Linked DNA regions of Tamandua tetradactyla. The protein of the gene in region 2 interacts with the protein of the main gene of each other region in a pairwise test. Links are inferred from orthologs where the notes say so. Each region holds a gene or a part of one and is shown on either strand. Other genes may lie near its edges. The genes, in order: AHSP, ZC3H12A and P4HA3.

Evidence for each region.
Region 1: the proteins of ZC3H12A (region 2) and AHSP interact in binary tests that used the Homo sapiens proteins (3 or more experiments, as listed by UniProt). The two-hybrid records come from large-scale screens. The link is inferred for Tamandua tetradactyla from reciprocal best matches to the Homo sapiens genes ZC3H12A and AHSP.
Region 3: the proteins of ZC3H12A (region 2) and P4HA3 interact in binary tests that used the Homo sapiens proteins (3 or more experiments, as listed by UniProt). The two-hybrid records come from large-scale screens. The link is inferred for Tamandua tetradactyla from reciprocal best matches to the Homo sapiens genes ZC3H12A and P4HA3.

What each region holds. Positions count from the first base shown.
Region 1 is NC_135349.1:23,060,187-23,069,866, forward strand, and holds AHSP (alpha-hemoglobin-stabilizing protein), read right to left. Parts: upstream 3,364-9,680; 5' UTR 3,193-3,363; intron 3,028-3,192; exon of another isoform or gene 3,025-3,027; 5' UTR 3,021-3,024; coding exon 2,946-3,020; intron 2,806-2,945; coding exon 2,602-2,805; 3' UTR 2,444-2,601; downstream 1-2,443. Other genes in the region: RUSF1 (RUS family member 1), read left to right, coding at 9,340-9,633. UniProt on the Homo sapiens protein: Acts as a chaperone to prevent the harmful aggregation of alpha-hemoglobin during normal erythroid cell development. Specifically protects free alpha-hemoglobin from precipitation.
Region 2 is NC_135328.1:187,839,268-187,850,327, reverse strand, and holds the start of ZC3H12A (endoribonuclease ZC3H12A), read left to right. Parts: upstream 1-6,702; 5' UTR 6,703-6,773; intron 6,774-7,579; 5' UTR 7,580-7,613; coding exon 7,614-8,056; intron 8,057-11,060. UniProt on the Homo sapiens protein: Endoribonuclease involved in various biological functions such as cellular inflammatory response and immune homeostasis, glial differentiation of neuroprogenitor cells, cell death of cardiomyocytes, adipogenesis and angiogenesis.
Region 3 is NC_135334.1:71,394,537-71,405,007, forward strand, and holds the start of P4HA3 (prolyl 4-hydroxylase subunit alpha-3), read left to right. Parts: upstream 1-6,112; coding exon 6,113-6,303; intron 6,304-10,471. UniProt on the Homo sapiens protein: Catalyzes the post-translational formation of 4-hydroxyproline in -Xaa-Pro-Gly- sequences in collagens and other proteins.

The DNA.
Region 1 (9,680 bases), on a different chromosome or scaffold from region 2:
GGCATCCAGGGAAATATACCTTGGTTCAAGAAGGCCAATGAAGTTCCGAGTTTCTTCTCTCAGGTGAGAAGGCACAATGGCAAACATGGTTAGGGTTTCGCGCTCATCTGGAAAGGCACATGGCGAACATGGCATCATCTGCTAGTTTTCTCTCCTGGCTTCCTGCTTCATGAAGCTCCCCGGGAGGCATTTTCCTTCTTCATCTCCAAAGTGCTGGGTGAAGGACTCTCTGCTCACAGCAGCTGCAGCATTCTGTGCTCTCTCTGAGTCTCCTGGCTTTCTCTCTTATGGTTCTCTTTTATAGGATTCCAGTAAACTAATCAATATCCACCCAAATGGGTGGAAACACACCTCCACCTAATGCAGTTTAACAACCACTCGATTAAATCACATCTCCGGGGAGATGATCTAATTACAGTTTCAAACATACAATACTGAAGAGGGATTAGAAGAAACAGCTGCCTTTACAAAATGAAGGATTAAAACATGGCTTTTCATCATTTCAAACCAGCACAAGAAGCAAGCCAGGGATAGAGGTGCAGATCTGTGAAGCACCGGGACTTATGTGGCAATTAGAGGCATGGGAGCAGGTCAGTATAATCTACCATTAGGTGCTGTAGTTACTCTTCATTCACAATCAAAACGTTTTTCTTCCTTCTAATTCTGGTTAATTTCTCAGCAGAAACAGTAATGGATTTGGGGTACTCACTGCTTCAGTAACTTTAATTTTGTCATTATGGACCATCAGACCCAGGTAGTTCATAACACCATCATTGAAAAATAAAATTATTCCACATTTTACTTAGATCTAGGTCCAGACATGAGAACACGGTGTGCAATTGATAGACTTTGGCTCTAAACACGTTTGACTACTTCTCAATTTCATACACTCTGACAGAATGGCTCGAATGGCGTTTAGATGTTGAGTTTCCCATCCACTGTAGGAATCTTTTCTACAGCATTCCCCATAATTGGTCATCTTCCTTTGACTGAGCACTTTAGGGACTGTTGGCTCACCACCTCCCAAGGCAGGATACTTTAAATTGATGGAAAGTTATTAATTAATTTAGCCAGAGTGACTTCGGGCCATTCTTCTAAAGCTCGCTCCATATAGCAAGAGTAAGCCTAATAGTTTTTCATATGCCCCTACCCATGTACACTACACCAGCTCTGCTTGCAAAGGCGGCGTTTTTGAATACTGCCTCACCTGGGCGGGCCCTGGGTCCACACTAAAGGACTGGGATTTCCTGAGGCACGCTGTGGGGAAGGCCTCGGCCTCCACCAGGGACACCGACCACACCTCAGAGGTTCTCGCTGCCTGGTTCTCTGCGAGGTGGCCATCCTCTCGCTGGGTCTGGGGCCTCCTCACACCCCTAAGCTGGAAAGATGGCTGGGGGCACTGAGCCCGTCCCCTTTAGACCCTGGACTAGACTGCCTAGACTGCCGGCGCCCTAAAACCAAAAACCGGAGGTGGGGATGCACAGAACCAAAGAGAACGCCCGCTGAAAGTGGGAACAAGAGAAACACTCGCTGCCCCAAATTTTCCCCGCGAAAGCAACAATACAGAAAAGGACAGGGGATCTCCCCGCCCCCTTAGCGGGGCGCGCGCTTTGCGCGACCTGTGATTGGCCGAATCGTGGTGCGCCTCGCCCCCCCCTCCCGCGCGCAAGGCCCTTTGCGTCCTCCGCGCCTGCGCCCCCTAACCTCCACCCACCTCCAATCCTCCCGGCTTCCGTGCCCCTCGGGCTTTCCAGGGAGACAGGGCTGCCGGCTAGTCCCCCTTAGTATTCTCCCCAGCACTTTCGTTTCGTTTTTTAAAGGCTCGTGCGTCTGGCTCAACCCTGGTTCCACCCCCTCTAAATCCTAGACTATAAAGATTTAGGGTCTGGAGGTCGGGGAGAAAAAGGTCTAGTCTGGGGAGTGGAGGAGCAGGTTAGGGGCAACGAGGAAGGTGGGGCGAGCTAGATGGTTACCAAGAACTCTTGCAGTTCTAAATTACCCCGCTACGCTGGGACACCTGGGAGGAATTTTGCTGTAGTCTTTAGAGTCAGAAAGTCCTAGAATTTTGCTCAAACTGGAGCTAAGGGTAGGGAACTGAAAAATTGAGGCGGTGGGTGCTTCATTCCTTAAGACTTCCAGCAACTTTCTGCAAACAAGCCCATCCCAGGACTACAGTGGCAGGAGAGCTTCTATCCTTCCTTTTCTACCACTCCCGACCCCCAGCTACCTCCTGCCCCCACCTCATCCCCAGCACGTTCCCTTCAGACTCTGTGTGTTAGGCCCCTCCTCCGACCCATTTTAGTACTGGCTGGTGGTTATCTGGGATTGGTGACCTCTGCTCTAAGGAATTAAGTCTCCAAGGGGAAATCTAGGAAGTAGGGCTGAGGGAAAAGGACTCCAACTGCCGCTACAAGTGGGACAAAAATTGGAAGAAGATCCGAAGACCAGCAAAACCAGTATTTGTCTTTATTGAGTGGGAGTGTAGAAGCAGCGGAAGAGCAGAGCCCAAGGACCTGAAGGACAGAGCCAGGACTTGAGGGTTTCTTAGAGATGAAGGGCTGGTCTCTGGGCTAGGAGGAAGGCAGTGGGCGATTTGGGTGCTCACAAGGACTTCAGGAAGGCCCGGTATTTGGCCAGGAAAGGGTTAGCCAGAGTATTCAGCTCTTGCTCAAGTTCCTGCAGAGCCCTGTCCTGCTCCTCCTGCTCCCCGACCATCTTCCGCCTGTAATAGGTGATGTAGAAGTTCACCCAGTCGCCCGCTATGGTCACCATAGCCTCTTCAGAGATAGGAGGATCAGGGTGGACCTGGGAGTAGAAGGGGAAGAGAATGGGATTCGAGAATTTCTTCCTTTCATTGTTTCCACCAACTCCACCCTTACTCTCCTTTTTCTGCCCTCACCCCCACCTCTCCACTGGTTTCCTTTGAAACCTAGTACTGGGCTTACCTGCTGATCCAGCAGAGCATTAAATTCTCTCATTGCTTGGGAAATGAGATCCTTGTTGGCCTGAAGAAGGGCCATCTGCCTACTTAGAGAAAAGAGTTTAAGTATCCTCCTCCCTGCCCCTGGGTATTTCCCCCAATCCCCTCACTCCCCTGAAAGATCCCTGGTGCCCAGGCAGGGCCACCTCCTCCCACTGCTTCTTAAATCCCCCTCTGCCCTGAGATATTATTTCTCCCCAAAGTGAGCTCACCTTCAGGCCCAATGGTGCTGTGTCTCACCTACACTCCCCAGGGATGTAGGTTCCTCTGTGACAAGCTAGGTTGTAGGCAAGGAGACAAGTGTCTGCCTAAGAGGGAAACGCCCTGTGTCTAGGTCCTGATGAAGGATGATAGGTCAGTTGAGGGAGGAGAAGGAGGGAGAGGCTTCCCTGACGCTAGGAAGATAGCAAGACCAAGAAAAAAAAGATAAATGAGGAGATCCAGAAAACGCAAGAACCAAACCAGGTTCAAATCCTTGCTTCTGCCCCCTGCCCCCCATCTCAGTACCCAGGCTCCAAACACACATTTATTGAGATCCTATTACATGACAGGCTCTCTTAAGGCATCACAACACCATGATGACAATTATTCTCCCATTTCATAAATATATTAATAGCTTACATTACACTAATTCAGTAAGTGCTTCCTTGTTACGAGCATGTATTAAGTTATTCATCCCTGTAAAAACCCTTTAGGTAGGGACTGTTATTAGCCACATTTGGCAGATGAGTCATAAGAAAGGGAGTTGGACTCTGTCAGTCTTCACTCCCCAAGAATGGAGATGCATTTGTCTTGTTCTCCATGGTATCACCACGTACTCCACAAAATAGAAATGCCCTTTTTCTTCCTTTTAAATGTTTTCCCAATAGTTTCCATTTTTAGCAGATGTTTTTCAAGTTTTAAAATCACTACATGTTGGGTGGGCCACAGTGGCTCAGCAGTCAGAGTTCTCACCTGCCATGCTGGAGACCCAAGTTCAATTCCCAGTGCCTGCCCATGCCAAAAAAAAGAAAAGTCGCTACATGTTCATTGAAATAAGTGACGCAATACAAATCTGTCCACTGGAAAAGTTGATCATTTTTCTCCCTCCACCTACTAAGGTAACCAGCATTAACAAATATGTTTCCTGGCACAGCTTTCTCCATTCAAAAACCAACATTCATAAGCACCTATACTCTCAGAGGTTTGTTGATTTACTTTCTTTGTTTAGGTGTTTTCTTAATTAACAAACAGCAAAGTCATCCTCTTTTCTGGTGTATAGTTTATGAATTTTAACATATGTAGATTCATGTACCAACACCACAATCAGGGTATAGCAATTGCATCACCCCAAGAAATTCCCTTATGCTCACTCCCACACCCACCTGTAAGCCCTGCCAACCACTGATCTGTTCTCTGTCACTATTTAGTCACTAGGTTAGTCTTTTAAAGAATGTCATGTAAAGGGACTCATACAGTCCTGACCTTTTGAGACTGATTTCTTTCACTCAGCATAATACCTCTGAGATGCATCCAAGTTGTGAGTTGTTCCCTTTTCATTGCCAAGTAATATTCCAGTGTGTGGGTGCACCACAGTTTGTTTATTCATTCACCCATTAAAAGACATGGCCTCGATTGTAGGCAGTTTAGGGTGAGTAGGAATAGAGCTGCTATAAACATTTGGGTACAGGTTTTTGTGTGAACATATGTTTTCATTTCTCTAAAATAAAAGTATGTATTACCAGTGAGAGAGAGAATTACGATACAATCTTAGTTTGCCGAGGCTGCTATAACAAAATGCCATAGACTGGTTGGCTTAAATATCAGGAATTTATTTTCTCACAGTTTTGGAGGCTAGCCACCCAAAATTAAGGTGTCAGCAGGCCGGGCTTCTTGTGACATCTGTAGCATTCCGGTGGTGGATTGCTGGCAATCCAAAACTTAATTTCTGCCTCCATCACAGCTGTCTCTCTCCCTATCTGTCTCCTACTCTCCTACTGTGTCCAAACTTCCCCTGTATCCTAGAATCCCAGCCATTGGGTTAAGGCCCATTCTGTGTCAGAGTAGCCTCACAAATGGGTTCATAATCACAACACAAGGGGTTAGAACTTGAACCTGTTTTGGGGGTTGGGATGGGAGGACCTGATTCAATCCATAACACAATCTGACGAAGGACATGTGTCCAAAATTTATATTAACTTTTACAACTCAATAATAAGACAACCTAATTTTTTCAAACAACCAAAAGATTGGAACAGACATTTCACAAAGATATACACATAGCCAATATGCAACTGAAAAGATGTTCAACATCATTAATCATCAGGGAAATGCAAATTAAAGCCACAATGTGGTACCACCACACATCCACTGAATGACTAAAATTTAAAAGGCCAATTAGGTGTTGGTGTTGATGTGAAACAACTAGAATTCTCATACATTGCAATAGGAGTATAAAATGGAACAAACAGTTTGGAAAACAGTTTGACTATTTCTTCTGGAGTTCAACATCCACTTACCATATGATCCAACAATTCCACTCCATGAGAAATGAAAATATGTCTACAAACATTCTCAGATTCAAATGTTCATAGCTTTATTCATAATAATCCAGAACTGGAAATAACCCAGATGTCCGATAACCAGTGGATGGAAATAAAAATTATGGTTCACACTGAAATACCACTCAGCAACAAAAAAAGAACAAACTGATGGTCCCCGCTGCAAAATGGGTGAATCTTAAATACACTATGCTGAGCGAAAAAAAACAGACATAAGAGAGTACATGTAGCATGATTCCATTTCTGTGAAATTCTAGAATAGGCAAAACTAAGGTCTAGTGACAGAAGGCAAATAAGTAGTTAACTAGGGCTGGTATATGAAAGTGGGGATTCAGTTGCAGAGATGCCCAAGGGGAACTTTTTGGGGTGGTGGAAATACATATATTGATGAAAGTGAAAAGCACTTTCACTTGGTAGGAGTGTAAAGTTTTTAGAAGAATAATTTGGCAGTATTTAGTCAAAATATTCATACCCTTCAACCTTGCAATTCTGCTCTGGGACTCCTTTTTTTTTTTTCTGCATAGTCAGGCACCAGGAATCGAAACCAGGTCTCTGGCACGTGCAGGCAAGAATTCTGCCTGCTGAACCGCCATGGCCTGCTCATTTGGGACACTATTTTTGAAGAATATTGAAGAAATATCAATATTCTATGCACAGAAAACCCTGTACAAGAAATCTACCACACCAGTTTGTAATAAGGAAAAGGTCGAAACAACCTACAGGTCCATCAGTATGGGGAAATGTCAAAGAAATTATGGCACATTCATAGCATGACATTACATGCAGCATTAAAATAAATGTGACAATATGAAAATATCCTTAAGTCAAATGTTAGGTGAACTATAGATAGAGCAGCCCACCCAGGGCTGGGAGTACAGGAGTGGGGAAGCATTATATATTTCCATATGTGTATATATATGTATGTATATGTATCTTTGCATGTGTGTATACAAAATGATAAACAATGTTTACTTGGAAGGGACTGGTTTGTTTGGGAAATGGAACAAGGGATTATTGTCAAGGGAAAATTTACCCTTATCTATATTATCTGAATTATTTTATGACAACAATGTATCCCTCTATTATTTTCTAATTTTTAAAAAAAGAATACAGAACAAAAAAAGGAAAGAAAAAACAATGATAGTGTAGTTTTAAATTTTCAATCCTGGAAATTGAAATTTCCAAGTGCTGGAAAGTATAGTCATTGCTCACTAAAATATTTGTTGAATAAATAACTGCATGATTTTGTGACCTAGGTGAAGTAGTCTGTAAAAGGGTACTAAAATATACCTAACTTATGAGAGCTGTTGAGAAAATAAATTCATTTATTCCACAATTACATATTAGGCACTTACCTATTAGACACCTACCAGGCACAAGTACAAGGCACTGGAAATATACTGTAAAAGAGGCCCTCCTGAAGCATATATTCTGGGGTGGGGTGGGGGGTAAAGTGGGGTGTTGGAGATGTGAGAGGGTGAATGGTAGGGGTGAAGCCTAAGAGGGCAGAGTCAGATCTGCAGGGCTCCATGGGTCATGGCAAAAAGTTTGGGTTTTCTTTTCAAGTGTGAAGAAAAGCCATTTCAGGGTTTGGAGAAGAAGAATGTTGCAATCTTCTTCCAAAAAAAGCAATAGGAAGGCAAAGGAATTTTAAGCTATGTGGAGAGTGGACTGTAGCAGGGCAGGAGGGAAAATGGAGAGCCCAATCAGAGAAAAAGTCAAGGAGATGAGGAGTGTGGAGTATTCCTCCTATTGCTTGGTATACTATGGGATACCAGGATTTGGGGGCAGGATTTAGGACTCCAGAATCCTTATGGAGTAGGGGAAGGTGAAATATCCATCACTCATCTCTTTGTCAAGAAACTGGTCTGATTGCTGGGGTTACAAGGAAGTGTATGTTAAGTCTCTGTCCTCAGTTACTTACAGTTCACTTGGGAAGACAGGACATCTGTACTAAATACATACAAAAACAAACGGCTCCAGGCAGCACTTGCTAAGGGCTGAAAAAATACTGCAAAGACAAAAGAACCAAGTTCTGAGTGCAGTGAGGCCAATGTGGTCAGTAACGCTGCAGGGGGTACATAAATACTGTGACCATATATATATATATATATCTCCCAAGACAGCTCCATTTTAGACCTGTTATTCTGACATTAACAGTAGTGCCTCCTTCAGTGCCACTCTCGAAAGACCTAGTTTAGATAATAAATTGTATGGTGATACGAGGCATGAGGACTATTTGACCTGCCTCACATAGAGCAAAAGGCCTCAAAGTTGGACACTTGGAGTTATCTAGAAAGAATCATAGCCAGCACTTAAATAGCATGTTCTATGTGCCAAACACAATTTCATAGCCTTACACATATGACTCATTTCATCTTCATCCCAACCTTGATTGGAAGGTATTAGCACTACTGTCAGTTTACAGATGAAGAAACTGAAAAACAGCGAGTTCAAGTAACTTGCCCAAGATCTCACAGCTGTTAAGTAACAGAATCTGGATTCAAACTGTGACCCTCTGATAGCATTCATTTATATAGGTTGCCCTCCGAGTTCTCTTAACCACTAAAGTGTTATCACAACAATGCCTCACAGAAGGTAACATTTAAAACATAACACACTGTTTGTAACCCTTCAATTTTTCACTTTAGTACCAGGAAACTAAAAAATAAGATAAAAATTGCAGTGCCCCAGGCCTATCTTGGCCTCAGAGGGACTGTGCTTAGGTGTCGGATAGGGCGAGAGGGAATTGAGGATGTATCAGGCTGAAAGGTCCCTGAGGATGGAGATAGTTTGGAAGAATCAGAAGTTTGTAGAAGGGATGTGGTCATTCAGTTGAGACCAAACTGTTCAGGTCTGAGAATGTCAAGCTAAGGAACTAGGACATATTATTTTCTGAAAGAAAAAGGAAGCTTTCGGCAAATTTCTACTTTGGAGTCAGCATATTGCACTGAATGGGAGGAAAAAAGGGAGGGTGGGAAAGCTAAAGTGAAAGGAAGGAGGGAAGGAAGCACTGTGTCTTTAGACTTTCTCCGATTTCATGGAAACCTCCTCCCCCACCAAATACACACACAGGCACTTCTTACCTATTTCTCTTCTTTCCTGATAGACTACTACTGCAATCCCTTGATTGCCCAAACCCTCGGATAAGGACCTCGGGGTCCTTCAGACATACTCCTCCATCCAGGAGGCTCTGCAAATTCTGTGAGAATTTTTAGTGGAGGCCATAGACGCCTAGAATTTAAAGAAAGTAAAAAAAAATTGCAGCTCAACAGGACCTCGGGGATCATCTGGTCCAGCGTCTCATCATTCACTCGTTCATTCATTCATTCATATCTTTTGCGCACCTATGTGTTCGGTACTTGAGATAAAAGGACTAAAAATATATAATACTCCCTAGTATGTCAAAGAATCCCAAAGAGGAATACTGACTTGCCAAAAGTCACACAGATAAAAGTTTTGTGGCTGAACCGGGTCTCAAACACCATTTGTTCCCTAGACCCTCTTTTATTTTCCCCATAACCGGACATTGCTGGTTACAGGAATTCAGATTCGTCTCTGGTCAAAGAGCCTCCATTTCTCCCGTGGCCCAGCTACAAAGTACTACATAGAACAAGGGTCGCGACCGGCCCTGGGTCCGAGGTGGGAGCCCGGGAGGACAGAAAGGGTAGTCCGTTTCCAGGCCCGGACAAACCGAGACACAGGGCCTGGCCGCCCTTTTCGCGGAGGAAGACTGCCCCTCTGCAGCCGCCGTAGCCGAGACGGAAGCGGAGCCCGCCACGTATTTCATCTAGTGGGACTCGAGCTAAGAGATCCGCAATGGCTGAGCATACAGGTCTTGAGGCCCAAGTATGCTCGGAGCGGTTCGGCTCCGGGACTGCCCGGAGCTGCCGTGTTGCAGCCGACGGGAGCCTGCAGTGGGAGGCCGGGGAGTGGCGCTGGTTCTCCGGGGCCTTTACGGTGAACCCTGGAGGACGAGAAGGGGGTGCAAGGGGGGCGCTCCGGGCTGCCTCACTACCTCTCTCGGGTCTCCAGGCCGTGTTCCTGCCACAGGGTTTCCCTGACAGCGTCAGCCCGGACTATCTGCCCTATCAGCTGTGGGACTCCGTGCAGGTCAGCGTGGCCATCTGGGGCGGGGGGGGGCTCATCGTCGAGGGCGG
Region 2 (11,060 bases):
TTTAAAGTGATTGACCATTATAAAAGTAATTTTTGGTTTCGAGTGACGAAATTTGTAGGTTTACATAACTGAAAAGTCTAGAATTAGATATAACTTCAGGCAAGGCTTGATCCAGCAGCTGTCACCAAGGACTTATGTTTTGTCAGTTTCTTGGCTCTACCTCCTATTCTGTGTCACAAGACGGCTGCCAGAAGCTCCTAGCACTACTTGCTTTCCTCATTTGTGATTAGCAAGATAACAAGGAAATTTGCTTTCTTGTTAGCTCAAAGAGAGACCCAGAATTGAAACTCATTAATTTTTGTTTGGTTTGATTTGGGTCCTGTGCATTCTCCTAACAAATTACTATGAGCCGGAGAATGAGGTAACCTGATTTGCTTAAGCTAATTAGGCCCCACCTCTGGAATAGAGTTACTTCTGCCCAGAACACATGGCTGGGAAATTCCCAGCCCTGTTTGGAAGAGAGAACTGGGCAAAGGGTGCTGGAGAGACAACCAGCAAGCCAACTATGGCACATTTATTGGCCAATGATATCACTAACTGCCCTTCAGAACGTCTGGCAGCACATGAGCCACACACGCGCGAGTTGCGGGATCCTAGGAGGTAGGTGTTCACTATGGCCACCCCATCTGCGCATGGCCACACTGACTACACGAGATCCTGCATTGGTGGCCACGTGAGACATCATCTCAGCCCCTCATGAACACGTGATTCTGTGGCTAGACCTGGACTACTTGCAAGTTCATCTGTGTTCAACTCTACGTCTCCACTCCCTGAATCTTCATAGATGGCTCAGTTGAAGACTCCAGGTGGGCCTCGAGTTCCCTCTCACCTCTGAATTTTCAGGTCTACAACTGCCCCCTTTCAGATGCAGGAGACATCCATGATCTGGATTTGGTAAAGAGGATGCAACAGAGGTGTACACAGCAAACATAGCCCAAACCACCCCAGCTCTCTCGGATATTGGCTCACCGAGCATTAACCAACATCCATACCAGGTACTGTGCCAGGGGCATGGTGCAGAGACCCGGACCCAGTCTTCCAGAGCCACGGTCAGCTGGAGGTGATACCCACACACCTCTATAGTTCAGTGGGGACAGTTCAATGAGGAAGGCAGCAGGAACCCTGGGACAAGGGCAGGCTCCTTCCTCCTACCAGCTCAGAGGACAAGAGTGCTTGCTTCAGCACTCTCAGCTCCAGGGCCACCCCAGCTGAGTTCCTAGTCTCTAGAACCTGGGGATGGCTAGGAAGTCGAGCAATTTCTACTGCATCCCTACAGCCATGTCCTCAGATTAGGGAGTGTCAATCGCATACTGGGACCCCCGCCCCTCTTCACATCCTCAGAACTGTGCAGAAAGAATTCTCTGTGGCCCCTTCACTGAATTGACTTTGGCACAGGGGACAAGGGAGGCAGGCAGACTCAAGCTTCTGGCCCACCTTCAGACCCACCTCTTCCATATAGGATTCTCTTGTTACGGAAGTACTTAGTGAGGCCAAAGCAGAAACTTCCACTCCAAACCACTCTCTCCACCGGATGCCCAAGGTTCCCTCATTCCTTGGAGGTAAGTCACCAATGATTGAGAGCACCTGTGTGGGTCAGATTTCTATCTCTGCATCAAGTTGGATCAGAATTAGAGCGAGTGCCTAGGATGGAGGAAGCCTGGCTAGTCCCATTCTCTGCACTGTGGCCAGGGACAAGCTTCTTTCCCTCTCCACTCCCTATCTATAAAACAAAGGGATGGGGCTAAGCAACCTCTATGGAGCTTTCCAGCTCTAGCTGTCTGGAATGTGAGCATTCAAGGGCCCAGAAAAGAGGGAGCAGGAGAAGCTGGGGGGAAACGGAGGCAGAGGGACAGGGGAGGCAGGAGGGTCATCTGGCCTGGGCCCCATAGACAGGAAAGCCCCAAATTTAGACATGATTGTTAATTTCAAAAGGGATCACAGTCAGTCACAGAACATATATACACCAAGAAGACCAAATAAAGACATTTGGTCCCAACACGGAACCATACCACCTGTAAGACCCATGAAATTATATATATCACACCCACATCTAAACATGTATGTTTTTTTAATTCACTCTTTTATTCTGGAATAAGTTTAGCTTTACAGAACAGTTGCAATGACAGTACAGAGAGTTCCCATAAACCCCACACCTACTTTCATTTTCCCCTAATGTTATCATCCTACATCACTGTGGTATATTTGTCAAAACTAAAAAAACCCAACACTGGGTACATTACTGTGAACTCAACTTCAGAGTTTATTTGGATTTTACCAGTTTTTCCATTAGAACCCACTTTCTGTTCCAGGATCCAACTCCGATTATCACGTGGCATTTAGCCAGCCGTGGCTTCACGGGCCCTCTGGTCTGTGACCATTTTTGTCTTTCCTTATTTTTCATGGGCTTTGGAAAGAACAGCCTAGAGACGAGACGCCCCCTCTCATCATATCCTCTCCAGGGACCCGTGATACCCACATGACTGACGTTGACCTTGATCTCTTGGTTAAGGTGGTGCCTGCCAGACTCCCCCACTGCAAAGAGACTATTTTCTCCCATTCCCTACTCTATTATTAAGAAGGAAGTTACTAAGTACAGCTCACAGAAGAGGGGAGGATGGGGAATTAGGCTCCACCTCCTGGATGGAGAGTTTCTACATATATTATTCGGAATTCTTCTATAAGGAAGAGCTGTCCCTTCTCCCTCATTCATTTATTTATTCAATAATGTATTTATATCCATATGGACTCATATTTATTTTACACTTTGGGTCATAACCCAATACTACTTTGTTTATTTTTTTTACCCTGATTGTTACAGCTCTTTTGGCTCCCGTGGCCTCTTTGGCAAGCCCTCATTCTTTTGCTTCTGAGCACTTCTTTACTCTCTGGAACTATAAAATGCTCCAGGCACATCTTTTCCCTGTCCCGGCCCTAAAATCAGTCATTTTGCCTAGGCAATAATATATTTTTAAGCAAATCATCCAATTATCCCGTCAATAGTCCAAATATATTGTGCAACTGTTGAGCATGTGATGAAAATAGCTAATTTGCTCAATTGTGATTTAAAACATACCTTGATCTTTGTAGCCCTGCATTAACCAATATTTTAAAAAATATTTCAGGAGCCTCAAAACATGGGAGGGACCTGGCCCTATCTCCACTTCCAAGAGTCCTTGTTGAATGTAACCATCACCTCTACTGCCACTTCGGTGAGGCTCAGGCCAGCCCTGCCCACCCCTCCCCTCCCCAGCCTGGGCTACCCAAAAGAGCAAATCGAGGCAAAGGTGAATCCAGAGGCCCTTCCCTCTCCAGCCTCCCTGCCTTCCAAAGGGAGTTTCCAGTCCTGGAGCTCTGCAGACCTCGCCCAGGCTGGCGAGGCAAGGGCAGGTGGCAGGAGGGCAGGTAGGCACCAGGAAGGAAGTTGGCAATCCACCTGATGGAGATGAGCAGGCAAAAGGGGAGGTGCATCATTAGACTTCAGAGGATTCCCGGGAATTAGAGTTCAATTTAGCAAAATCCAGCTGGAAGTAGAACCCAAAGCAACTCTGGGTTCTGCAGAAGAGAGCAGGAAGAGAGCGAGACCATGGCTCACTCTGGGAGGGCAGGGAGTTGTGTGACTCACAGCTGGGTCCCACCGGCTCCCACTGGCATGGTGCTGGGCAGCATGAGATCTGGAGGCCCGGGCAGAATCCCAGCCGGGTTCTGGCCCCAGAGGTGGTCCCAGAATGGCAGTTAGAATACAACCCGTAGGGACGGAAGCAGGGTGCTGTGGGAACAGTGAGTAGGAAGCAACTCACCATCTAAAGAGTCCAGGCAGGCCTCGTGGAGGTGGTGTCATCATCAAAATGATGAATGGAATTGGCCAGGCAGCAGTTGGGAAGGAAGGAGGGGAGGACACTCCTAGCAGAGGAAGAAGCATATGCAAAGGTAAAGAAGCGTCTGCCAGGCAGTTGGCAGAGTACCTGCCACCTGGTAACCACTCAATAAATGTGAGGTATTGTTACTGCAGTTGATTAATCATGATTATTAATCTGAACATGCTACAAAGTGTTTTTACTATTGTCAAGGTAGCTACTACAATGAATGCATGCTTAATGTCACTGAGCTCTTCTCATCTATAAAAGAGGCTATTGTGCAGATTAGAAGTACAGCGTGTCCGGGGTTCCCCTGGAGTGGTTGCAATGCATGAGTGGTGCCCACCATCATGAGTGGGCTAGCATATAGTAGGTGGCTTGTGTTCCTTTCAACTCAGCCTGTCAGGCACAGATGAGGGAACACTTGGCAGTCTTTGAAGATGACCAGGCAACAAAACAGGCGCCTGGCTACGCTAGGTCAGGCCAGCCTAGGACAGCCTCAGGTCCTGGCTAGAAATGCACTCTGTGTCCTCTTCGGGGTCTCCCATGGCCTCCTGGAACCAGCAGACATAGACCTGGAGATAGTCTGCCTTGGAGACAGCTGTGTGAATTCCGGCTCTACCAGCTCCCCAACTCTGGGCAAGTCTCTTCATCTTTTTGAACCCCTGAGCTTCAGTTTCCTCAACTCTACGAGAGCATTAGGACATACAAGAATATCCACAGCCTACTCTTTATATTAGCAAAAAGAAAAAAATTAATTTTTTTCTGTTTTCTTTTTATTTCTTCTTCTGAATTGATGCAAATGTTCTAAGAAATGATCATGATGATGAATATACAACTGTGTGATAAAAAAGAATGTTCATATTGTATGTTGATTGGTTTTATTAATAAAAAAATTTTTTTAAGGTTAAAAAAAAAAAAACACCAAAAACAAAACTAGAAATTACCCAAATATCCAAAACAGGAGAATGGATAGTGAGTCATAAAATGGAATACTACACAACAGTGAAATAAATTAATTATAGCTACAAAGAAAAGAGATGGATCCTTAAAAAGTCATATGTGAAAAAAAGGAAACCACAAAACAGAATGATTCCGTTTACATAAGGTAGGAAAAAAAAATGAAAAGCAAATCTAAACAATACATTATTTAGGGAGCCATACAACCGTGGTGAAACTAAAAGAAAACCAAAGATGATTAGCCTAATTAAAACAAAATTCAGGAAAGTAGTTCTTTAGGAAGGGGAGGAAGTTAAATTGGCAGCAGTGGGAGAGGAGGCCAGACAACCTCTGAGGTACTGATTCTGATTAATTTTTTTAAGTTAAATGATGGATACACAAATGTTTTATTATTACTGTAATTCCTTAAGCTGTGTGTATATAGTTGTGTATATAATGTCTTTTACAATAAAAACAAAATTTGATTGTAATACTAGTGCATACCTTAATAGGACACCTGTCTACTATAAGGCAGAGATAATGCTTGGAAACTACTGGCACACAAGGACTCTGTTTTGAGAGCTTTGGCTCTCTTGGCCTCAGTTGCCCCATCTGCAAGGTGAGCTGATAGCACTGCAGAAGCTTTGTCCTCTATCTTGTGTGTGTTTGCACACACGCGTGCGTGCACACGTGCACACACACACACACACACTGGGAGCCTCTTAAGGGCAGGTGCCAGACCCTTCCCTCCTACCAGAGTAGTCTCCCTTCTGTCTCAGGTCACATGAGCGGTTGTGGCAACTGGTGTACTGGAATAGGAGCTCCGGATCCCAGTTCCGTGTCTTTCTAGTTGAGGCAATTTAGCCTTTTCTGAATTTGTTTTCTCATCAGTAAAAGGGACATACTAACCTCTAACTCCCTCACCTCAGCCCATAGGTGGATACTGTAAAGTGCATTACTTACATAAGGGGTTACGACCAATTGATCTGGGAACTTAAAAGCATCCTCAGGGAGGTGTTTCGTGCTGCCTCTGGGGATTGGGGGCGGGGTGGGGGAGAGCGTGACGTCAGGTCTGGGTTTTGAGTGAGTGTAGGATAGTGTCTTCTGTGCTGGCTCACATGGTGATGGTGTGAAAGTACCTACCTTTGCCTGGTTTTCCACTTCAGTCAGTGTCTCTCTGCTGATTGCACCTGCCTTTCTATCTTGGTACTTACTGCAGAAAAAGTCTACCTGGCCCCGGTGTGGCTCCCCCTCTGTGTACCTGCTTCAGTCAGGGTGTGTTTACCTGTGGAATGTTCCTGTTTCAATCTGAAAAGTGCCTGTCAGGGGGAATCTGTCTCGGTAACCATGGACTTACCTCCAACAATGCGTGGACCTACCTGTGTATGCGATCACTTCATGTGTACCTGGCCGTACTTTAGTCTGTGGGAGTGTACCTGGGTGTCCCTCTCTCAGTGGGGGTGAGCCTGTTGCCAAGGGTTCCTAGATCTGAATAGATGTGGCTGGACCTGTCTTGGCATCGCTATACGCACCTCGGCCGGCCCGTACCTGACTCGGTGCATATACCTGGCTCGGCCTGTGCTTACCTTACGCCCGTGCGCCCTTTCCTTCCTAGTCTCATCGCCCCGGGGCCTTGGGGTAAGAAGAAGGGGCGGCGTCCCAGCACCCCCAGCTCCACCACCGCCCGCGCGCCCGCCCGGCACCCCCCTCCCCCCCGCCCCCGGCCCCCACTCAGCCGGCGGGGGGCGGGGCCTGGAGGCCGGGCGGGGCGGGGGGCGGAGCAGGAAGGGGCGGCGGCCGCTCCGCCCCCTGGCGCCCGTCGTCTCCCCCGACCGGCTCTCGCCGCCTTTGCCCGGCTTCCGCGTCACCGACCTTAACGCCACCTGCCCGCCCACCCGCCCAGTATAAAGGCGTCGCCGGTCTTGCCCAGAGGACTCGGCCCCATGGAGACGCCGCTGGCCGCGGCTGGCGCACGGCGGGGTGAGGCGCTCGCGGCGGGGAGGGGGGCGCGGGCCTCGGGGTCTGCTGGGAGGGCGGGGCGTGGAGAGGGCTCGGGCCGGGTCCTGTCGGGGGTGGGGGCGGGCGGGGGCCAGTCACCCCCGCCCCGGGCCGCGTCAGTTCTCCGGAGCCCCTCCAAGTTAGCCCAAGTTGGAGGAACCCGGGGTAGGGGGCCCAGGTCCGGGTGGGGGCGCCCAGCGAGCGCGGGTCTCCCGGCCCGCACAGCCTCCGCGTCACGGCGCCCGGCGGCCAACCAGAGTTTCCCAGCAACTTTTTTCTCCGGTGGATCGCCCCGAAACTTCTCCTCCCCGGGGCGGGAGGCCGGCCGCGGGCCCTGCCGGCCCGCCGCAGTTGGCACCGAGCGCGGGGCGGGTGGGCGGAGGCGAAGGCCTCCGCGGGGAAGCCCCCGGCCTCTGAGCGCACTTCCAACGCCTGGTTTCCATCCGAAAACCCTGCCCCGCCGATGTGGGGGGCGCGGCGAGGTCCTCCAAGGCCCCCGCGGCCTTCTGGGTCCCTGGGTTGACACGGGGGTGGGGTGGGGTGGGAAGGTGGAGTGGAAATGCCTAAATTCACATCCTCAGGCCACCCGTTAACAGCTGTTTGGCCTTGCGCAAGTTCTTAAGGTCTCTTTGCCTCAGTTTCCTCCTTTATAGAACGGGAATGGTAATCCCTAGCAGGGAGAGCCCGGACGGCTGAAGATGGTGATGGTGATGGTAGGGGGCGCGGGCAGCAGAAGGGGTGGGAGCGAGCCCCAGTTCCCATCCCTGACCTCTGTGGTTGTCCCACAGGAGCTGCGGCTGGTCCCTTCCAGGAGCCTGAGCTATGAATGCTCCCTGTGGAGAGAGGCCCATCCAGGCAGCCAACCCCACCATGAGTCTGTGGGAACCTGGGGATGGCCACAGCTGGCAGGGTACCCCCGAACCCACCCAGGAGCCCAGCGCCGAGGAGGCATCCGCTGCAGAGCTGCAGATGAAGGTGGATTTCTTCCGGAAGCTGGGCTACTCGTCTGCTGAGATCCACGGAGTCCTGCAGAAGCTGGGGGTCCAGGCGGACACCAATACGGTGCTGGGCGAGCTGGTCAAACACGGGTCGGCCGCCGAGCGGGAGCGCCAGGCCCAGCCGGACCCCTCCCCGCAGCTTCCTCTTATCGCGCGGGGCGGGGGTCCCCCCAAGTCCCCCAGCCTGGAGACCTCGCCCCCTGAGGAAGAAAAGGAGGGCAGCGACTTGAGGCCTGTGGTCATCGATGGGAGCAATGTGGCCATGAGGTACGTGCCACTCCTGTGACCAAGACTTATGGTCAGTGGCCAGGCAAGGTGGCCACGTGTCCCTGCGGTTCTGGTAGAGAAAGCCCTTCAGGGAGGGGTTGACATCTTCTCATAGCCTAGTCTGAGGAAAGGAAAGCCCTTCGCCGAGGCCCTCCCTCAGGCTGGCGGGCTCCCTCAGCCCTCCCAGCTCCTTGACGTGGGTTTGTTTGGGATGTTTTACAGAGGTGCGACGGCTTTGCCCACAGTCATACTAGTGCCAAGTGGTGGGGTGAGGATTCAAACCCAGGTTGTTCTGTCTCCAGAGGTCATCTACCAGTCTCACCTTGGGTGCCACCACTCCCGGGCTCAGTGACCCCTGACATGGGAGGCACGATGGTCTAGTGGGTTTGAATCCCAGCTCATTCAGTGGAGGAGCCAGTCCCATAACCTGTCTGAGCCTCCTCTCGTCTATAAGAGAACAGCTTTACCCACCTCCCAGGGGGCCTGGCGACTAGTAAGCACTCAGTACATTGTGGGAGCTGCTGCTGTTATTCAGGGGCTGGGGCCTGTGGAGTTGGCTGGTCCCAGACCTGGGCTACCTGTTAAGTGGGCCCAACTGCTGAGGTCTCTATGGCCATGACCGGGAGTAACCTCAAGGCCGGATCTGGCTCTGTCACTGGGGGTGTGGGCGGGTGGCCTGCTACTCTGGCTTCAAGTGAGCTGTGATTTGGGTCCCTCTAATTCAACAGGAGCTGCCTGGACTGGACTAGGCTCTACAGAGCACCTTGGGCCAGTGCTAGAACTCAGCCCTAGCAACTCCCAGCGCCCCCCACTCCCACACCCAACACCGTCTCTCACGGGGAACAGGCTGGGGTGGGGACAGAGGGTAAGACACTGTTGGCCCCAGGGAACCCAGACTTCTCCCTTTGCTCCAGGCCCCACCCTCTGGGTCTGCTTTCTCCCCGTTCCCTTCCAAGCTGGCCAGTGAGTCAGGCAAGGCTGGGCAGTCTCTCACGAGGAAAAGTTCCTGTCGGGGTGGCCTGGGAGACCCCAGACCTGGGGGTGTAGAGTGGGGGAGGGTTCCTTCCCTGGCCACTCTGAGGGATCGCCCAGGTGGGCTGTCTGAGGCGGGCGTGACGTCAGTCTCTGCCCCCAAAGCCCTAGGCCCCTCCCACTCCCGACCCAGCTGGGGCAAGTCTGCTGGCTGGTCCTGGCCCGAGCCCTGCAGACATGCTGGTGAGCTCTCTCACAGCCACCCAGATCAGCCCTGTCTCTAACATGGCCTGAATGTGGGAAGGAGGTTGAGAAAAACAGGCTCCTACCTGCCAGGGGACAGCTGGTCACAGCCTGAGCTTTGAGAGTTCAGGGGTCCATTATTGGGCCCCAGCAGTGTGTGACTGGGCACCGGAGTCGCTTTGGGGCTGTTCCCTTCCTTTGGGGGCCCTGGACTGGGAATGGCTGAGCCCTCCGGGCCGCCATGGCCATGTGCTGTGTGTGTTTGTATCCTGGCAGAAGGAGGAGGGGCCTGGGAGGGAGGAGGGGTGGGTGATGGAGTGGGAGGAAGGGCTACAGAGGAACAGGTGCCCCAAGAGGCAGAGCTGCCGGGGTTTTCTAAGCTGGGGCAGTGGCAGGAGGGGAATTCCAGCCTCAAACTTCCTGTCTCAGCTGCTACTCGGTTCCTGCCCGGCTGTCCCCTCCCCCCCAAGGGCAAGCAGGCCAGCCCCCACCATATGCAAATCGTGGGGAAATTCACCTTCTGTTTCCTTCTAAGGGAATTTTTCTCCACTCACCGGGCCTCGGGCCTCGCCAGGGCAGATCTCACCTGGAGAGCTAGTCCTGGCCCAGCCCTGCCCTCTGTCCTGGAGTCTCTCACCCGCTCACATCAGTGTCTGTTAGCCAGGCTGGGGGGGTCCCGACTTTCTGGGCAGGCAGGATGGCGGAGGGGTGGGAGGATGCCTGGTTTTCCTCTGCAAGCAGGGCTTCCTCTGTCCCTCAGTGACAGGGACTAAAGTTAAGCTGGAGGGAGGCCTGGGAAGACAGTGGCTGGGCTCAATTTGAGGGACTAGAACCTGTTTTCCCCGTCTACTGAGAGTAGGGCTCTGCAAGAGTTAAGGGTTGATACAACTTTTAGTTTTGGCAAGAGTAACAGCGAACAAGTAAACTCATATACTGCTGCTAGAAGAATAAATCGGTTGAGTCCCTTTGGGAGGAAATGTGGCAGTATCTATAAATGTTTATAATATAGGTATCCTTGAACTCAATAATTCTTCTAAGAATGCATCCTATAGAGACGGTATATTTACAGATATATTCACTGGAGCATTATTTGTTGTAGAAAAAAAAATCACTGTGGCTAAACAATATTCAGCCTTAGGGTACTAGTCAAATAAAATAAGGGGCATTTCTATACAGTGGAATATTTTTGCAATTTTTAAAAATGAGGTAAATCTATGTTATCTATATCCTCTGTGTACATATATGGATTTATGTGAAAAATATGCATTAAAATCTTTTGGAAGTTTACAGAAAAAAAACTTCTAGGATAGGGGAGTATGACTAAGTTACGAAGAAGTGAAAACTTTTTATGCTCTTCTGTAGTTTGTTTTTTCAAAACCCAGGTGTATATATTCTACTTCTAAAAAAGTCTTGGAGAAAAAAAAAAAAGTCTTGGAGAAAGCCTATCTTATAAAAATAATTAAACCTGCTCCCCCGCCAAAAGAATAGGGCTCTGACTACCAACAGAGGAAATACTCCAGAGGCTGGTGCTGCTGAGAACAGACTTGTCCCCAGCTAGGGTTTGTAGTGCCTGGAGGCAGTACACTGTTCCGGAAGCCCTGGCATCCCATTTGGTCCCAAGGCTTGAAGGCGCTGGCCCAGGATGAGGCATATGCGTATAATGTATGTGTACAGGGGCAGGCCGGTGGGTGCGTGTACGGATTGCATGCCTGATGAGGAGGGGGAGCCAGGCCAGAGATGACCTCACCCTCACAGCCTGGCTGGGAGACAGAGCAAAAGCCACCCCCTG
Region 3 (10,471 bases), on a different chromosome or scaffold from region 2:
AGATTTGGAGCGGCACTCCCTCAAGCCGCTTCGGCTGGCGAACCTCCCCCACAGCGAGAGTCTTCCAAAGTTAAAGGAGCCACAGCATCTTTTACTGGTGGGACCCGCAGACAGACAAGTACCACATACTGGGCAGGATAAGAAAAACAGAGCCCAGAGATTTCACAGGAAAATCTTTCAACCTGCTGGGTCCCACACCCAGGGAAATCTGATTAAATGCGCAGATGCCAGCAAAAAATAATGGATCACACCAGGAAAATTGAAGATATGGCACTCAGTCAAAGGAACAAACCAATAGTTCAAATGAGATACAGGAGCTGAGACAACTAATTCTGAATATACGAACAGAAATGGAAAACCTCTTCAAAAACCAAATCAATAAATAAATCAGACCAAACTGTCTTCATAGGACATGAAGAAGACATGGGCTGAACAAAAAGAAGAAATAGAAAAATTGAAAAAACAAATCACAGAGCTTATGGAAGTGAAGGATAAAGTAGAAAAGATGGAAAAAACAATGGATACCTACAATGATAGATTTAAAGAGACAGAAGCTAGAATTAGTGAACTGGAGGATGGAACATCTGAATTCCAAAAAGAAACAGAAACTATCGGGAAAAGAATGGAAAAATTTGAACAGGGTATCAGGGAACTCAACGACAATATGAACCGCACAAATATACATGTTGTGGGTGTCCCAGAAGGAGAAGAGAAGGGAAAGGAGGAGAAAAACTAATGGAAGAAATTATCACTGAAAATTTCCCAACTCTTATGAAAGACCTAAAATTACAGATCCAAGAAGTGCAGCGCACCCCAAAGAGAATAGACCCAAATAGGCGTTCTCCAAGACACTTACTAGTTAGAATGTCAGAGGTCAAAGAGAAAGAGAGGATCTTGAAAGCAGCAAGAGAAAAACATACAAGGGAAACCCAATAAGACTATGTGTAGATTTCTCAGCAGAAACCATGGAAGCTAGAAGACAGTGGGATGATATATTTAAATTACTAAAAGAGAAAAAGTGCCAACCAAGACTTCTATATCCAGCAAAATTGTCCTTCAAAAAAGAGGGAGAAATTAAAACATTTTCAGACAAAAAGTCACTGAGAGAATTTGTGACCAAGAGACCAGCTCTGCAAGAAATACTAAAGGGAGCACTAGAGTCAGATACAAAAAGACAGAAGAGAGAGGCATGGAGAAGAGTGTAGAAAGAAGGAAAATCAGATATGATATATATAATACAAAAGGCGAAATGGTAGAGGAAAATATTATCCAAACAGTAATAACAAAAATGTCAATGGACTGAATTCCCCAATCAAAAGACATAGACTGGCAGAATGGATTAAAAAACAGGATCCTTCTATATGCTGTCTACAGGAAACACATCTTAGACCCAGAGATAAACGTAGGTTGAAAGTGAAAGGTTGGGAAAAGATATTTCATGCAAATAACAACCAGAAGAGAGCAGGAGTGGCTATACTAATATCCAACAAATTAGACTTCAAATGTAAAACAGTTAAAAGAGACAAAGAAGGACACTATCTACTAATAAAAGGAACAATTAAACAAGAAGACATAACAATCATAAATATTTATGCACCGAACCAGAATGCCCCAAAATACATGAGGAATACACTGCAATCACTGAAAAGGGAAATAGACATATATAACATAATAGTTGGAGACTTCAATTCACCACTCTCATCAGTGGACAGAACATCTAGACAGAGGATCAATAAAGAAATAGAGAATTTGAATATTACAATAAATGAGCTAGACTTAACAGACATTTATAGGACATTACATCCCACAACAGCAGGATACACCTTTTTCTCAAGTGCTCATGGATCATTCTCAAAGATAGACCATATGCTGGGACACAAAGAAAGTCTTAGCAAATTTAAAAAGATTGAAATCATACACAACACTTTCTAGGATCATAAAGGAATGAAGTTGGAAATCAATAATAGGCGGAGTGCCAGAAAATTCACAAATACGTGGAGACTCAACAACACACTCTTAAACAATGAGTGGGTCAAGGAAGAAATTGCAAGAGAAATTAGTAAATATCTCGAAGTGAATGAAAATGAAAACACAACATATCAAAACCTATGGGACGCAGCAAAGGCAGTGCTAAGAGGGAAATTTATTGCCCTAAATGCCTATATCAGAAAAGAAGAAAGGGCAAAAATTCTGGAATTAACTGTCCAATTGGAAGAACTGGAGAAAGAACAGCAAACTAACCCCAAAGCAAGCAAAAGGAAAGAAATAACAAAGATTAGAGCAGAAATAAATGAAATTGAGAACATGAAAACAATAGAGAAAATCAATAAGACCAGAAGTTGGTTCTATGATAAAATCAATAAGATTGATGGGCCCTTAGCAAGATCGACAAAAAGAAGAAGAGAGAGGACGCAAATAAATAAGATCAGAAATGGAAGAGGAGACATAACCACTGACCTCACAGAAATAAAGGAGGTAATAACAGGATACTATGAACAACTTTACACTAATAAATACAACAATTTAGATGAAATGGACGGGTTCCTGGAAAGGCATGAACAACCAACTTTGACTCAAGAAGAAATAGATGACCTCAACAAACCAATCACAAGTAAAGAAATTGAATCAGTCATTCAAAAGCTTCCCCAAAAGAAAAGTCCAGGACCAGACGGCTTCACATCTGAATTCTACCAAACATTTCAGAAAGCATTAGTACCAACTCTCCTCAAACTCTTCAAAAAAATTGAAGTGGAGGGAAAGCTACCTAATTCATTCTATGAAGCCAACATCACCCTCATACCAAAACCAGGCAAAGATATTACAAAAAAAGAAAACTACAGACCAATCTCTCTAATGAATATAGATGCAAAAATCCTCAACAAAATTCTAGCAAATCGAATCCAACAACACATTAAAAGAATTATACATCATGACCAAGTAGGATTCATCCCAGGTATGGAAGGATGGTTCAACATAAGAAAATCAATTAATGTAATACACCATATCAACAAATCAAAGCAGAAAAATCACATGATCATCTCAATTGATGCAGAGAAGGCATTCGACAAGATTCAACATCCTTTCCTGTTGAAAACACTTCAAAAGATAGGAATACAAGGGAACTTCCTTAAAATGATAGAGGGAATATATGAAAAACCCACAGCTAATATCATCCTCAATGGAGAAAAATGGAAAACTTTCCCCCTAAGATCAGGAACAAGACAAGGATGTCCATTATCACCACTATTATTCAACATTGTGTTGGAGGTTCTAGCCAGAGCAATTAGACAAGAAAAAGAAATACAAGGCATCAAAATTGGAAAGGAAGAAGTAAAACTATCACTGTTTGCAGACGATATGATACTATACATCGAAAACCCGGAAAAATCCACAACAAAACTACTAGAGCTAATAAATGAGTACAGCAAAGTAGCAGGTTACAAGATCAACATTCAAAAATCTGTAGCATTTCTATACACTAGCAATGAACAAGCTGAGGGGGAAATCAAGAAATGAATTCCATTTACAATTGCAACTAAAAGAATAAAATACCTAGGAATAAATTTAACTAAAGAGACAAAAAACCTATACAAAGAAAACTACAAAAAACTGTTAAAAGAAATCACAGAAGACCTAAATAGATGGAAGGGCATATCGTGTTCATGGATTGGAAGACTAAATATAGTTAAGATGTCAATCCTACCTAAATTGATTTACAGATTCAATGCAATACCAATCAAAATCCCAACAACTTATTTTTCAGAAATAGAAAAACCAATAAGCAAATTTATCTGGAAGGGCAGGGTGCCCCGAATTGCTAAAAGTATCTTGAGGAAAAAAAACGAAGCTGGAGGTCTCACGCTGCTGGACTTTAAGGCATATTATGAAGCCACAGTGGTCAAAACAGCATGGTATTGGCATAAAGATAGATATATCAACCAATGGAATCGAATAGAGTGCTCAGATATAGACCCTCTCATCTGTGGACATTTGATCTTTGATAAGGGAGTCAAGCCAACTCACCTGGGACAGAACAGTCTCTTCAATAAATGGTGCCTTGAGAACTGGATATCCATATGCAAAAGAATGAAAGAGGACCCGTATCTCACACCCTATACAAAAGTTAACTCAAAATGGATCAAAGATCTAGACATTAGGTCTAAGACCATAAAACAGTTAGAGGAAAATGTAGCCGATATCTTATGAAACTTACAATTGGAGGCGGTTTTATGGACCTTAAACCTAAAGCAAGAGCACTGAAGAAAGAAATAAATAAATGGGAGCTCCTCAAAATTAAACACTTTTGTGCATCAAAGAACTTCATCAAGAAAGTAGAAAGACAGCCTACACGATGGAAGACAATATTTGGAAACGACATATCAGATAAAGGTCTAGTATCCAGAATTTATAAAGAGATTGTTCAACTCAACAACAAAAAGACAGCCAACCCAATTACAAAATGGGAAAAAGACTTGAACAGACACCTCTCAGAAGAGGAAATACAAATGGCCAAAAGGCACATGAAGAGCTGCTCAATATCCCTGGCCATTAGAGAAATGCAAATCAAAACCACAATGAGATATCATCTCACACCCACCAGAATGGCCATTATCAACAAAACAGAAAATGACAAGTGCTGGAGAGGATGCGGAGAAAGAGGCACACTTATCCACTGTTGGTGGGAATGTCAAATGGTGCAACCACTGTGGAAGGCAGTTTGGCGGTTCCTCAAAAAACTGAATATAGAATTGCCATATGACCCAGCAATACCATTGCTAGGTATCTACTCAAAGGACTTAAGGGCAAAGACACAAACGGACATTTGCACACCAATGTTTATAGCAGCGTTATTTACAATTGCAAAGAGATGGAAACAGCCAAAATGTCCATCAACAGACGAGTAGCTAAACAAACTGTGGTATATACATACAATGGAATATTATGCAGCTTTAAGACAGGATAAACTTATGAAGCATGTAATAACATGGATGGACCTAGAGAACATTATGCTGAGTGAGTCTAGCCAAAAACTAAAAGACAAATACTGTATGGTCCCACTGATGTGAACAGACATTCGAGAATAAACTTGGAATATGTCATTGGTAACAGAGACCATCAGGAGTTAGAAACAGGGTAAGATAATGGGTAATTGGAGCTGAAGGGATACAGACTGTGCAACAGGACTAGATACAAAAACTCAAAAATGGACAGCACAATACTACCTAATTGTAATGTAATTATGTTAAAACACTGAATGAAGCTGCATCTGAGCTATAATTTTTTATTTGTTTGTATTTTTTGTTTTTTCTTTTTCCTTTTTTTTCTTTTTTATATTTTTTCTATTTTTATTTTTATTATTATTTTTATTTTTTTCTCTATATTATCATTCTATATCTTTTTCTGTTGTTTTGCTAGTTCTTTTCCTAAATCGATGCAAATGTACTAAAAAATGATGATCATACATCTATGTGATGATATTAAGAATTACTGATTGCATATGTAGAATGGAATGATTTCTAAATGTTGTGTTAGTTAATTTTTTTTAATTAATAATAAAAAAAAGATAATGTCCTTTTTCCTGCTTCTGTGGATAGCTTGTGGTTTTTACCTTTATAAGCCCCCCCTTGAGAACTTCTTGGGGCTACTCTCTGATTCCTCCTTCTTGAGTTTCTGAGGCAGTCGCCAGTGGGCTAATAAAGACTCCTAATTGGCTTGCAAATTGCTTTGACTTGTGTGGTCTCTCTTTTGGTGCGCCCCACAACACTTAGGCGGGTGAATCCATGGCTCTCTTTGCCCTCTGCGTCAAATTTTACCATGTGTGAAATGGGCACACAGGAAACATCTTCCCAGGGCTGTAAATGAGTGGCGGGCAGGCGGAACTGAGATCGCAGGCCCTGCCCCTCAGTCTGGGGCGCTGAGGGGCAGGAGAGTGGGAGCTGGCAGCTAGAGGAAGCGGCGGGGACAAGGAGTGAGTGGGGTGAGGTAGGGTGGGGGAAGGAGCGAGGCGGGGTCAGCGGGCGGGGCCAGCGGGCCGGGCGCGGCCGAGGGGCGGGGCGCGGCGGGCGCGGGGCCGAGCCGGGTGGGCCGCCTGAGGAACGCGCGAGCGCCGGCCATGGGCCCCGCGGCGCCGCTGGAGTTGCTGCTGGCGTCGCTGCTGGCGGTCGGGTCCGGGAGCCCGGCGCGGGGGGACACGTTCTCCGCGCTGACCAGCGTGGCGCGCGCCCTGGCCCCCGAGCGCCAGCTGCTGGGGCTGCTGCGACGCTACCTGCGCGGGGAAGAGGCGCGGCTGCGGGACCTGACCAGGTGAGTGCGTGCGCGATGGTGGCGACAGAGGGGCGTGAGGGTGGGAGGCTGAGTCACAGGGCGAGCCTGAGACGCTGTGCGACCCCAGACTCATTGTCACCTGCGTGGGACCTGGGACCCGGTGTCTTGCTCTGAGACAGGCACCGTGATATGGGGTGGAGAGTGACTCAGGCTGTGTGACCCAGAGCCGTTGTCACCCTGTGTGGGACTCTGAAGCACTGTGGCACGGAGTACTGGGGAAATTGAGATGGAGTATGACCCCAGAGGCGTTGGGTCACAAACTGTGTCAGACCCCAGGCTCTGTCACACACCTACAGTGACACCCCGGATTTGACGTCACACAGTGAAGTTGATACACTGAAAAAGTGTGGTGGGGGTGACTCTGAGGCCACACACGACCTCACAAGGTGCTGTGTCAAGCTGTGTGGGACCCCAAACCAAGACAGATTGATGCAATGACATAAAGACAAGGGCGAGAGAGAGATGGTGAGATGGCAGTGACACCGTGGCCTCACAAGTATTGACCTTGTGAGTGGACACTGAGTGGGCCTTCTGAGAAACACTATGTGACCCAGCAAACCTGTGTTTAGTATGAGGAGTCAGGTGTGGTTCTGTGACCTTCTGCGAAATCTGTATGTCAGGGGGACTGAATGGGCATGACACTATGGATATCATGCTATGCATGTGAAAGATGCTGAATCCAGGTCACTATACGTTCATTACTTCATTCAACACAGACGTTTGAGTGTCTCCTATGAGCCAAACAAGTTCTAGGCACTGGAGGTAAAATTGTGAACAAGACCTAACCTTGCCCTAAAGGAGCTTGGAGTCTGTAGTGTCATAATTGTTAATCAGAGAGGTCCATCTCTTCTTTGTTTTCAACTCTCCCTTCTCTTTACACATGGTAAGAGCTCCCTAGCTTACTGTTTAAGTAAGAAAAGAGATGTTTTTCTGTGCTAAAGTATTTGACGTTGTGAAAAACCTTACGTCATGCTGGAAGATACTGAGTAGAGCATATGCAAGCAAATGCTCATCAATATTATTTTGCTATACAGTCAACAAACTCTAGTGGTACACACTATGGGATAAAATATTTTAATTCTTGGGACACTGTAATCATGCCTTTTCTGCGACATACTATGAAAGATGAATGACTGTATATATGATACCATGTGTATGAGTGTATGTTGTGCTTCTGTGTCATAAAAGCCTGTGTCTCTGTGCTTGGGGCATAAAGTCCATAACACAGTGAGAAACAGTGGTTCCGGCATCACTTTTAAAGTATCAATATTTTATGTATATCATGGGAATATAAATGATATTCTGCTGGAAACAACTTGAGAGGAGACAATAGATGTTTCACAATGCACTGCTTATAAAACTGAAAGTGAGTGTAATTGCTATATGATAGTAATAGTGATTCTAGGGCATCATGGAAAGAAGGTGGATGTGATGTTGTGCGTAAGGGAGCCCGTATAGAAGATTCTAAGTTTGTGGAGGTGTGTGTGAAAGATCTTATTACTCGATGGTGACTGAATGATGATGTGACCTTATAAATGGTGCTTGCCTATAAGCAGTTTGTACCTGTTTAAATGTACTGTTAGTTTGACTAGGTTTATATGTAGAGAGAGAGAATTATGTGAGTGTGTATTAATTTTGTTTAACAATAAATGTATAATAATTTAAATAATTCTTGTTACCTCTTTGGAATACATATTGCTTAACATTCTGTGGGTACATGTTTATAGAGAAAGATATTTTAATTTTATTTTTAGTCCAGGATCACCAAAGTCCAAGTTTATTGATTGAAATGGAACATATTTTGTAAATTTCGGAACCCAACATGCTCCTTAGTGCCCGTGAGTTTGTTTTCATACCCCAGTCCCTTTCCCTGCATGGCTCAAATGGAGATGCATGTCAGAATCCTGGGCTGGGTCCATCAGGGAAAAAGCTCCAGAGAGAGCTCTTGCAACATTGTCCAAAGCAGCTGGTCAGGGGGGCCCCTCTGCATGCCTGTTGTGTCACTGTCACAGCTTTGTCGCACACAGTCCTTAGATAAAGGTTTGTATTTCTCTCTTTTACCGTGATAAGCATGTATTACTTTTTTTTAACATAATTAAAATATGAGAAAACTAAACTTCATAGAGATAAATGAGCTTGTCCAAGATTATAAATTTATTAGGTAGCATATCTAGGAGTAGAACACAATTTTTTTTTTTGCTTTTAATTGTAATAAACTATACATAACAAAATTTACCATTTCAACCCTTTTAAAATGTACAGTTCAGCAGCATTAAATACATTCATAGTGTGGCACAACCATCACCACCGTCTATTTCCAGAACATTTTCATCCCAAACAATAGAACACAGTTGTTTTGACTGTTAATCCGATTCTTTCCATCATGCTATGATATCCCTGCTGCTTGCTTTATGTTATATACCAGGGTGACAGACTAAGCCCAAAACTACCTGAGGTTTTATGAGAGACCACAGCGCACAGTGGGTCGAGTCTGGATTCAGGAATTCAACAGACCTCTGTTTGAATCCCTGGCTCTGCCTTAGGACAAGTTTCTTTAACTCTTTAAAGCTTTGGTTTTCTAATCTGTAAAATGATGAAAGTGATGGTACCTAGCCCCATGGAATTGTTGGGATGATGACATGAAATTAGCCGTGTAAGGTATTTATCATTGTGCTTCAAATATAATAACGCTCAACGTTAGCTCTTTGTGATTAAGGTTTATTTCTTTTAAGTCTGGCTGGTGAAACTAGTTGCCATATTTGGCTTTAAGCATTATCTAGAATTGTGAGGGTCCAGATAGTAAAAAAGAATCAGAAGAATTACAGATTCTTTAGCAATTCCTACACCTTTGTTTTTGTAAAGTTTAGATGGATAGCTTGAGGAGTCTGTCATTCTGTTCTCCAGTCAGTGCTTTGAAACCTAGTGAAATGTTTGCCTTTTAAAGCAAGAATTTTGGCTGTTCTTGCTCATTTTTCTATACTCCCAACTGGTGATCTTATGTAACTTGAGATGTTATTTCTAATGGCCTCAGTGTTATGGGTCTTTGAGTTTTTAGGTTGAGAAATGAAATATTTCTTAAACTTAAAACTACACACTACTCCCAGTTATCGAATGAAAATTACACTAGTTATAGAAAATAAAGTTTACCCCTAATTTTTTGTTACAGTTTGAAAAACCACCAAGAGGATAAGAGTAGTATCAGCAGCAATTATTTCTCTGCTAGGAATTAAGCATTCAGAATGTTTCGGAAGAACTGAGACAAAGACATTTTCGAATTCTAAAAGAGAAACATTGAATTTAAAATGCCCAAGCATTGCTATTGGATAACCTTGCCAGGCTATATTTAATGCAGGGATTGAGTTGCAAATTTTTTGTGTAGATTCTTAAATGAAAGAATCTGATTTTCCACTCTCAGCAGTATTTGTTTTGCAAAATTTGTGTGTATGTTCTTAAAGGAAAGGATCTGATTTTCCACTCTCAGCAGTATTTGTTAAAGCACATGCTATTTAGAAAGCCCTGAAGTTTGAATTCAGCATCTTGTTACTCCATCTCTGGAAACCAGCTATTTGCTTCGAGACTGGGCATAGCTCCAACATTTGGATTCCAAACCAGCCTCATATATCAGTTGACAGGCTTTTCTCCTCTTTGTGCAACAGAAAAATGGTGTATCTGAGCACTGGATTGAATTGATGAGCAGTAGTAGAGGTCAAACCCCTGACCTACACAAATAGAACCCCATAATGCAAATTGGTGGGATATAAAGAGAACAGGAAGATAGAGAAGTAAGCTTTTGACTGTTGGATGACTTAAGTCAAATGTTCTCCTCTCTTCCTTTGCCTCACTTTCCTCTGATTCCTGTTAAACATTAGTTCTCAGGCACTAAATGTGGAATTTATATATTCATTTGTAGAAAAGGTGATAGGATGGCAAGGCCTAGGAGTTGCTTCCAGGAAATCTCTTTGTTGCTCAGATATGGCCTCTCCCTCTAGGCCTAACTCTGCAAGGAAAGTCATTGCCCCCTGCCCCCGTGGGACCTGACATTCAGGGGTGAAAATCTCCCCATGGCGCATGGCTTCTGGGATGAATCTGGTCCTGGCACCCTGGGATCTACAAAGCCTTCTGGACAAGGGGCAGGAAACAGGTATAA